Linked DNA regions of Macaca mulatta. The protein of the gene in region 2 interacts with the protein of the main gene of each other region in a pairwise test. Links are inferred from orthologs where the notes say so. Each region holds a gene or a part of one and is shown on either strand. Other genes may lie near its edges.

The links. The genes of interacting proteins can lie anywhere in the genome.
Region 1: the proteins of RBPMS (region 2) and C14H11orf87 interact in binary tests that used the Homo sapiens proteins (3 or more experiments, as listed by UniProt). The two-hybrid records come from large-scale screens. The link is inferred for Macaca mulatta from reciprocal best matches to the Homo sapiens genes RBPMS and C11orf87.

The regions. Positions count from the first base shown.
Region 1 is NC_133419.1:110,243,443-110,248,764, reverse strand, and holds the start of C14H11orf87 (uncharacterized protein C11orf87 homolog), read right to left. Parts: upstream 3,220-5,322; 5' UTR 3,091-3,219; intron 1,996-3,090; 5' UTR 1,735-1,995; coding exon 1,141-1,734; 3' UTR 1-1,140.
Region 2 is NC_133413.1:32,158,454-32,163,684, reverse strand, and holds the start of RBPMS (RNA-binding protein with multiple splicing), read right to left. Parts: upstream 3,171-5,231; 5' UTR 2,610-3,170; coding exon 2,544-2,609; intron 1-2,543.

The DNA of each region.
Region 1 (5,322 bases), on a different chromosome or scaffold from region 2:
AAACAGAAACATTCTAGTTGGTTAGATACTGCACTTTCAGTACTGCACATCACCTAATACTTTTTTTTTTTTTTACAAAAAAGGTAACTTATGCAATGTTTAATAATAAGAAAACCAATAGTACACGCTAACTCGATTGTAGAAAAAGAAGAAAGAACCCAACCAAAAGCCAGAATAGTCATTTTCCAAAACAGCCCCTCCTCCGCCTTCACAACTAGAGGAAGTAATCAGAACGGTGAGGCGACTTCAGCACCAGACCTGGCTGGACAGCTCCCAGATCCTCTGTAAATTCTGAAAATGTCACAGGTCAAAGGTGTATGGGTGGGGGCGGGGCAGGGAGTGAAAGCGTTAGCTTTTTTAAAAAACTCATTTAAAGATTTTAACGTACTTATGCTCGGCCAGCGAGGGTCATTTTAAAAAGTAAATTAAAGGTTCTGTCCTGGAAAAGGTAATAGGTAATAGTTAAACAAAGGGTGAGAAATGGGCTGACTGGCGAGGGGTACCTGTCATAAACACTTTCTGGGGACTATTCTCTATGCCCTCTTGCAGTCCTGGTGCTTAATGTAGACGTTTTCTTTATAATATACTATTGCCTGAGCCCGGCTGAGGGTGGGAATGGGGAGGAGAGGGAAGCTAAAGAAAAAGTGAAAGCTTAGGGGTCAGAGGGGAAGGAAGGAAACTAAACCTTAACTTGACAGCTATGTACATTACCGGGCCCCCTCCCCTCCCTTTGCTTCGGGAATCAATGCCTTTTATATATTTGGTAGCTTGTGCGGTTTCTCCTCCTAATTGAGGGGAGCGCGGATTGGAGTGGGAAGATGCATCCTTCATTGACAATGAGAAATTATGTGATTTGTCATGCGCTTGGATTGTGTTATTAGTATTATAATAATTACTATAAATATTAATAAAGTATTATTATCAGCGTTATTTCTTCTTCCGAGACTTTCCTCGCCCAATATTTACAAATACCGCACAGTGCCTCGGCGGAGGAGAAACAAGAGTAAGGGGAGGGCAGGTAAGGAAACCAGGAAGAGGAAAAGAGGGGCCAGAGGAAAATGGAAAAGGAAGGAAGGAGGAAAAAAGCAAGGATGGCAAAGATGATGGAAACAAGGACGGGGAACGAGAGGGGCTAGACGATCAGGACAGTACCACCGTTTGCAAAAGGCCCTCGCCAGCTGTGTCCAAACAGGAGGAAGCTGCGTGTGCTCCTTGGGGACTGGAGGCTGGCGGTGGAGGCGGAGGAGCACAGGGACCCTGGCACGGGAGGCCAGGGGACGAAGAGGAGGACGACGAGGCGTTGGAAGGGGCACAGAAGGGAGAGTCCCGGGGCTGCCTCTCCAGCCGGGTTTCCTTTGTGTGGGTTGGGGCCTGCCTGCCAGGTCGGGGCAGACCCCCGCCACCGCGGCTGCCGCTGCAGTGATCCCGCTCATATTCCTCCTGAGCCCTCTGCATCTTCCGCTTCTTCATCCTACGCTTGTGGATGTGGAAAGTGGAGAGGGACAGCACGATGAGGCAGAAGATGAGGGTAACCAGGACAATCAGCACCAGCGTGGAGGAGAAGGACTGGAAAAGCTGCTGTCCCACCTGCGTGATGCAGGTGCCGCTGCCACCTGCGCCTGGGCCGCGGGCACCCGTGTTGCCACTGCCGCTGGCGTTGGGGGAAGCAAAGGTCCGGTTGAGGAGACACGGCGGCAACGCCAGCCTCAGCTCCTTCGGCGCCCTGGCACTCATTGGCGCGGGGCTGGGAGGGGCCGGGCCCACTAGGCTTCCCCTCTTGGGCACACTGTTCCCACCAGCCAAGAAGAGGACGGAGCCCACGCCACCCAAAACTGCTCCCTGTAGAGGGAGGGGGTGTGCGAGCAAGCCAAGGACTAAGGGAGCAACTGCTGGCAAGCAAGGCGACCAAGGAGTGAGCGGCGCCCGAGAGATCCTCGCCGATCCCACCTGGAACGCGTCTTCACACGCGCACCTTTCCTTCGCGGAGGCACCAGGCTGCAAAGACACAAAGCTTAGTTAGAATCTCGACCGCTGCCCAGGGGAGTGCGGTCGGGAAGAATCAACCACCACCGCAAAGCGGCCCTCTCGGCACGCTGCCTGAGCTGGGCGCTGCCCGTATTTTCGGTCAGCGGACCCCAGCCTGCCCACCCGTGGCCGTGCACCAGAGCCACCAGCAGCCTGCTCACCCCACTCGACAGGATGGGGTCTACGCCGGCACCGCGGAGGTGCAGATTACTCAGCAGATAAGGCAACCTCCCTTCCGCCCTTCACAACTTTATAATTGCAACAGACAAGCAGCCGCTTCGGATTGAAGTCCCTACTTCCCAGAGCTCCGGCTCTCCTCTTTTCTGCGCCCTCTCGGTGGATGTCTTCGCCTGGATCCCTCCCCTCCCAGCACCCACTCCGGGCCACCGCGGGGGCTCCGGGTACGCAGTCCTTCCTTTCCCTCCCCCTCCAGACTTGCCCTCCCTGGACGGCATCAGATCCCTTGGGTCCCATTCCCAGGGGGATACCCCTGGAACCACATCCCACTCTGCCTCTGTCCGCGACCGCGGCTGACGAGCAGGAACGCGCTCCATCTCTTCTCCAGCCTTCTTCCCTGGCATTCTCCCCTCTCCAAACAAACAAAAAAAGCAGCTGAAGCATCTTTCTCAGCCGACACATTCCCACGAACGGCCCCCTCCTCCCCATCTCTCTATGCCCCCAACTTGGCAGTAGCCTGATTCTTTCTAGAGGAACTGGAATGGAAAGAGGAGGGTTCCCGCCTGCAAAGTTTGGGGAACAGACCTTCTTTCAGTCCTTCCTAGACCCAGCCCGAAGGCCCCGAGGCTTTTCCGGCGTACCGGAGCCGGTAGACCCGCAGCGCACAGGAGAGCCTCCTTGCTGTTCCCAAGAGGCAGCTGCAAACTGTTGCACTGCGGAGCAGCGAGGCAGCGCACAAGCAAGCCGGGGCAGGGGCAGAGGCCGGGGCCGGGGGCTGGAGCTATGACCGGGGTGGCTGCACAGGCCGCGTGAGCTGTCCTCCCCACTCGCGCCCGGCCGTCAGGCCACCCGGCCATCAGAAGCCTTTAGTCACACCTTGTCTCTTACCTGGACCGCCAGCTGGCTGCAAGGAGGGAGCCCCCGCCGCGCGGCTGCAGTGGCGGCTGCAGAAGGCGCGGATTGAATGGGCCAGAGACCGAGCCGCGCTGCTGCTGCCGCTGCCGCCGCCTTCGCCGCCGCTTCAGCGAGCTGAGCTCGCAGCCTATTGCCAGAGAGGCCGGTGACGTCAGGCAGCCACTGCCAGGGCTCCAAGCCACCCCTCAGGCCCCCACCCACCCTAGCACCCCAGCACCTTGTCCTAGCATAGCGAGCCTCTGACAGACACTTCCCAGTTCGCTGCCCTTCTCCAGCCCAGGAACTAGGAGGAGCAACCCCCATCCCCACCCTGCAAGCAACCCACCTTTCTCACTCTCTTGCCTAGGAAGAGTTGAATCTTCAGTTCTCCAGCTGTCTGATTTCGTTCTAGAGCTGACCCTTTGGTCCCAGAATCACACTTTTACACCCTGGATAACCATTTCCCATCAGTGCACAGATCAGACTTTCTCCCTGGAGGCTAATGAAAATTTCCCCCACCCCCAATTCCTCTCTGTGCTGCCCCTGGTTCTGAACATAAACTGCGTGCATTAGATGACAGGGACATTTCTCAACACAGGTGTGACAGAACCCAAAACACAAACCTGAACAAATTAAACAATTGAAATTAACCATTTTTCTCCCCTGGAGTTTCCAAGTTATCTTTCACTCCATCTGATTCATGATCCTTCTTGCAGCCCTCACATCCTCATCTCTAGGCCCCAGACTCACTCGATGTATTAAACACTCCTTCTATTCTGTCACTCTAGACACTCATGAACACACAAAGCATAGTCTTACAAGGAAGAAATATGAAATTATTCACAGGAAGGCAGAAATGAACTGCTTTATGAAAATTGCAAGTATTTGTAGCTTGCACAAAGTACCCCTTCATTGGCCCTAATTCTTGGTAAAGTGTTTGGAGCACAACCTTTTAGCAAAATGGATAGAACTTCCAGAAAAGAACTCAACAGACTCCCTAAATCTTGGAAGAGACTAGTTAACTATTGGTTTAGGAGGCTTGGAAAAATATGAATAGTGCATTTAGTTACAGAATCCAGCTTTGAAATGGAGTATGCTCATTTTTCTGTTGGAGAAGCTAGCTGGGAACAGTACCTAAAGACATTGCATGGTTTGAAGGCACTCAGGTGTATTACTAAATGTGTATTTTCTTCTTTCCTCCTTGTTTTCTATCTTTGAGTCTGGCACAGTGCCTTATAGCTTACTTGATAAATTAAATGATGCAGTGTATGTTGTTGCTCTTTCATGCTATGCCTCAGAAATGACTGATGCCCAGTTATCTGCTTGTATTTGCTGTATGTGTAAAGAAAGAGGGTCTGACATGTGGAGGAAAAGGCTGTCTGTAATCTGGGGGTCCCTTCTTCTGACTCTCTGTTTAGGCTCACATAGTCAGTCACTGATGTCTGCCCCCCGCCCCCACCCCAATGGTAGCATCACCTTCCTGCCTGGAATGAGAGTACCAGATGCCTGCAATAGCCACGTGCCACATTTGGACAATTTGACTTTGGTGGGCTCAGGGGATAGAATGGTGAGCCTTTTTTTTTTTTTTTTTTTTTTTTTTTTTTTTTACTCTGTGATTAAGTGACATTTTACCATTGATGCCTGACAGGCAATGCCCCATTTTTTCACACTCGCTTTGCTCCTGAAAAGTTGAGTCTAATAAACATTTTGTAAAGCAAATCCAATTTAGATTCTCCAAAAAGAGATCTGGCTATTTCAAGAGACTCTTCAGCAAAAAATAAAAGTTTTTTAAAAAATGTTATTTTGTAAAGCAAAGAATTTTTACATAATTAGAATTAACTCTTGGCCATGCATGGTGGCTTACGCCTGTAATCCCAGCACTTTGGGAGGTCGAGGCAGGTGGATCACCTGAGGTCAGGAGTTGGAGATCAGCCTGGCCAACATGGTGAAACCCTGTCTCTACTAAAAATACCAAAAAAAAAAAAAAAAAAAAAAAAAAAAAAGAAAGAAAAGAAAAGAATTAGCCAGGCATGGTGACAGGTGCCTGTAATCCCAGCTACTCGGGAGGCTGAGACAGGAGAATCGCTTGAATCCGGGAGGCAGAGGTTGCAGTGAGCCGAGATCGTGCCATTGCACTCCAGCCTGGGCAGAAAGAGCAAAGCTCCATCTCAAAAAAAAAAAAAAAAAAAAAAAGAAAGAAAGAAAGAAAAGAATTAACTCTCAATG
Region 2 (5,231 bases):
CCTTAATGACGATTGGACTCATTTTTCCATGTCAGTTCAATGGCCACCAGAAATTACAACAAAACACATTTTTCCTCTCTTGTCATTATGTGTGTGTGTGTATATATATATATATATGTTGTATGTGTGTGTTCTGTTTACCGGAGTCCACTGCCAAGGTTTTTAAATGTGTTTAAGAGCAAGTTGCTGATGCGATGGGTGGGCAGAGAAAGGGTCAATGTAGTGGTTTTGTGTAATGCCGGGCTCATTAATGGCACTTACCAAATACCCTATTTATTTTAATTGTGGCTTTCAGGGTTAGAAAGAAAAAAACCAAAAAAGAGGGTAAGAGTTTTTCAAGAACAAAATATAAACCAAAAATAGGAAATTAAGGCAAAATTACCCGGATCATTCAGGCCACCTTAGTTTCTTTTCCTGAATTTCTGACATTATAAACCCCCTCTCTTCACAGTCTTATCTGTTTTGTACACGACATCTCTTGGACAACTTAGGTTCTGAAATCTTCCTACCAGTCCCCTTATTTTTTACATAACAAGTGTTTTGCTAAAAATATCCATACTTTCTAGAGCCACATGCCATTCCTACCTGAAAAAGAACACTGTCAGGTAACAGGACAAGTAAGAGGCAGCAACCATACTGCAATGGTCCGCGATTATACAGCAATTATTACACACAACCTCGCAAGGACAGAGGAGCGTCCAGGAACAGGGCAGGCAATCCCTCGGTCCTGGCAGCTGTTAAGATGGGTCAAGCGGAAAAATGTGCCTTTTCTATACTTAATTTTAAGTGGGTATGATTTTTAGGACATTGAACCTCTTTTGCTACCCACCAAAAGGAAAAAAAAAAAGTTTTCTCAACTGGGTAAATAAAGATGGTTTGATATAATATTCTAACCCTGAGAAGCAAACAGATTGCACATTTAGCTGAAATAGGAAGATTTCTGAAGCGATAATTATTTTGATATGGTAAGTGAATTAGTTAACTATAGTAATTCCTAAAAAAGCAAATTTAAAAAAGCATTATTTTTAAAATTTTTTAAGTGGTAGGGAAAATAAATAGCAAAGCAGCCAGTAAAGTTCAAGAAAAAAAGTCAGAACATACCATTCAACTCTCCATTGCTTTGAAAAAAGAAACGCCAGTAGCATTCCTACACTTGTAATTAGAAAACATGCATGTAAACAACTCTTCAAATAGTCTTTTATAATAAAATAGAAAATGTCCTCGGGTGAGAAAGCAATTTTTGACTGACTGCAACTCATCTAGGTTTTCACTACCATACAACTGGGTAAGAGAGTAAAATCTCCGATTTTGCACTGTTTGGCATAGTCTCGCTCCTCTACCTTCTCCACCTAAATAGTTCCCATTTCCCAAGTGGACAATGTGCAGAGAACTTGTATGCATTAATGAATTCCTCTGCAATTTTGGTTTCACTATCAGAATTGAAGTTTGCACACAACAGTGTCTCAACAATGATCTCAACGTCCTAACGCTTTAGAATCCGTTTACCTTCTGTGTTCACCTAGATCAGGATGCAATACCTGTGTGAATCTTTTCGGGTCATATTGAGCCATGCACTTTCCTGCATCTGCACACACTCTCAAGTTCCTCTAGAATGTTAAGAACTCAACTGTGTGTGATATTAAAAAGTACGCCAGAAGTAATTTCTTGGACTCCAGATAATGTACCTGCAGAAACAGTCATTTGGTAGGATACCACAAATACCCTACTACTGAATTCTGAAACGTTTGTTCCTGAGTCCGACTCCCCTTCTGACTACATCTACTCAATTTTGTTTCCACCGAAGGAACGCTCCGCAGTCACAAAACTTTCATCGTGAAGACGCACCACCCAAAATGCGTGCTCAGAAGTCAAAGTCCTATAAAAGTATCCTCGATGAGCATTTGGTGAATTGCTGCGTTTTTAACCCTCTTATTCTGCTCCCCTCATCTGCACGGCCCTAAATTCGCAAGCGTTCACCGCCCAGGTTCGGGGTCTTTGACTCAGCAGAGAAGAATGTGGCTGATGAGTTATCTATTAATCCAAAAACCCTCGGCTAGAAAGATATTTCACCAAGAACTTTTAACACGGAAAGGGAGGGGGCAGGGAACAGAGGTATCTTTTAATGAAAACTTTTCCCCAAGTTTCTTCCTTAAACTGCCCCCCCCCGCTACCCCGAATCCACACACAATTTCCAGCCCCAGCCCTAAGTCCTGACCCTCCGAGTCCCGATCATCTGAGGTCACCCAGGAGTCAGCTCTCGGTTCCACTTTTTAAATCCCGGGCAAACAAAGCTGAGCATTATACTTACAAAAGTCTCCGAAAAGTCCTTAGAGTTACGCAATTTGGGGCCCGCAGACGCGCGTGGACACAAAAACACACTTTCCCGAGATCCACCCTCCCCGGGCCACACTGCGGGGCTGCGTCCCGGGCACGGGCCATGCCTAAACCTTCCACCGCCGCGCCCCGGGCCCGCGCCCGCGCCCCGCCGGCCGCCCGCACTGGGTCCCGGATCGCCCCCGCCACTGCACCGAGCCGCCCAGTACCTCCTCCTCCTGAAGGTTGGCCTCGCTCGGGGTGTTCTCCTTCTCGGCTTTGCCGCCGTTGTTCATCTTCCCGGTCCTTCCTCGCCGGGCCGGGCAGGGCTGGGGCGCGGGGCTGGGCGAGGGCGCGCTCGCCCACTGTAGCCTTCCCCGGGCGCCGGGGCTCCCTCGGGCGGGCGCCGCGGGCTGCGGGGCTGGAGCTGGAGCCGGGGCAGTGGCTGTCGGGCTGGGGCTCCCGCGGCGAGACTGCGACGGCAGCGGCGGGCGACTCAGGAAGTACGAGGGAGAGACGGGGCAGGGCGCGGGCCGAGAGCTGGGCACCGAGACAATCGGGCCCCGGGAGGGCGACCTGGATAGGGAGGGCGGGAGCCAGGGGAGGAAGGAAGAAGGAAGGAAGGAAGCAAAGGATGGGGCGAGAACGCGCGTCCCAGGAGTAAGCGCAGAGAGTTGGGGCTGGGGGCTGCAGCCGCTGGAAGGAGGGGACGGGGGTGCCTAGAGAGGAGGAGGAGGAAGAGGAGGAGGAGGAAGAGGAGGAGGAGGAAGAGGAGGAGGAGCGGGGCGGAGAGGCGCGGGCGGCGGCTGGGACGCTGGGACCCGAGAGCCGCTGAGTGCGCGCTCCAGGCAGGCTCTGGGAAGTCCGGGATGGAAGCAGCTCCCTTTCTCTCGTCTTCCTCCCTCCCCTCTCCCCTCCCTCCTCTCCGCGCCTCTCCTCCTCCCTCCGCCCTCCCTGGACGTGGGCTGCCGGCTGCAGCCCGGAGGGACGGGGCGCGGGACGGAGCCCCCCGCGGGAGGAGGGGCCGGCGGCCGGATGGCGCGCGCCGGGGAGGGGCCGCGGGCGGCGGGCGGAAGCGGCGACCCCAGCCCCAGACTCGGCGGCTGGTCGGAGGGCGAGGGCCCTGGAGGCCGAGGGCAGGGGAGGTCGGGTACTGCAGTTCCCTCGGCCCCCGGGGGCCCCGGCGTCTGCGCGCCCCGGGACTTCGGGGACCCTGCCCCGCCGGGGCCAGGACCGGGAGCTGGGATGTGTGCGACTTTTGTTTGCCGGCTTTTACCAAGGGATTTGCACCCCTGGCCCTAAGCCCACCCTTCCCGAGCCAGACCCGGTTCTTCCCCTGCTGCTTGAATGACAGGATGAGAACTCGAGGGATACTGGGGACAGCCCCCTCCGGGCCGGCTTTTTCAGGACAGGGCTTCAAACCCATCTCCAGCGCGGGTCCTGCGACGCGCCCGGAGCCTTCCCCGCTTCGCTGCCTGGGCGTCCCGCGGCCCCCGACTCCTCTCCCAACTCTCACCCGACTGTTCTGGGATTGTTTACTTGGCCTCTCCCTCACCCTTCAGAAAGCTCCTTCCTGGAAGAAAAAACCACAAACTTACCCTATTTATCTTTTTAATCCCACGGCTATTTAAACGAGCTACCGGGTGTATAGTAGGCACTCAATAAATATTTGTTGGCAAAGTGAATATTCCTCATTGCAGGCAGAGCTCGGGGTCCACACGGAGGAATTTCAGAGGCTGGAAGCACGCTTGAAGAAGAAAGGGGGCCTGGGCTTTGCACCAACTTCAGGATTGCGTACTTGTTTCCTCATCCGTTAAATGGGAGCAGCTGAATGTGTCTCCTAGCGTTTTCGAGATTGTAGGTTGATAGAACTATGTACAGCACCCAGTATTCATTCTTGCTTCGTTTAGGTTTACAGTACATGGAAGCTAACATTATTAAGGAAACTTCCATTTTTCCCGGGCCTTAGAAAGCTTTTCCAATACTCGATCGTTAAAGCTTCTGGTTTTTTTTTTTTTTAGAAAAATGAGGGTCTCACTTTGTTGCCCAGGCTGATCTCGAACTCTTGGCCTCAAGTGATCCTCCGGCTTTTGGCCTCCCAAACTGATGGAATTACCGTCTGGAACCACTGTGTTAAACTCTTAGATTTGACTGCTACAAATGTATAAATGTGGAACTCCATGTATCAGTGGGTTCTGCCCCACTTCTTACTCCCAGGAATTCTCCGTCCCAGCCTGCTGCTCCTGTCCTGCACCAGTAAGTTTCTAACTACAGTATTTGCTTAACTGTTTCTCCCCACCCCCCAGCAGACATTCTTTATACTGATTTAAGTGCTGCTGGGGATGGGGGGGGGCGGCTGTGGGCGTTGCAGATAAGGACCCTCCCTTTAGGGAGTTTAAAGTAATACGGTGGCTCACGCTTGGAATCTCAGCACTTAGGGAGATAGAGGAAAGAGGATTGCTTGAGCTCAGAAGTTCAAGACCTGTCTGGGCAACATAGTGAGACCCTGTTCTCCACAAAGAGGGGAAAAAAAGAAAAGACAAAAAAATAAAGTGGTATGGAGCCAAGATACTCTCAGAATCCTCTTTCCGATTATAGAAAGCGAGGAAAATATTTGCTTTAAGGGCATTATGAGAAAAACAGTAGTGATACCTGGATTTACATACTGGGTTTATCTTGGGGGTTTGGAGATTTTGAAACAGGAAGATTTCCATAGGGAAAAGATGTTTTTTAATTGCTGTCATAATGTGATTTCTCTCTAAGGGGAACAAACATGTATCCTGGATGAAAATAAACCAAGTCTATTGAAATTGCAACCCAAGACATTCAGAAGAGACAAGGCTACAGTGAATCTGGAAAGTTTGCACGTGTTTGGATGTATTGATTGCCTTAACTGGCAGCCTTTTGCACTGCCAGCT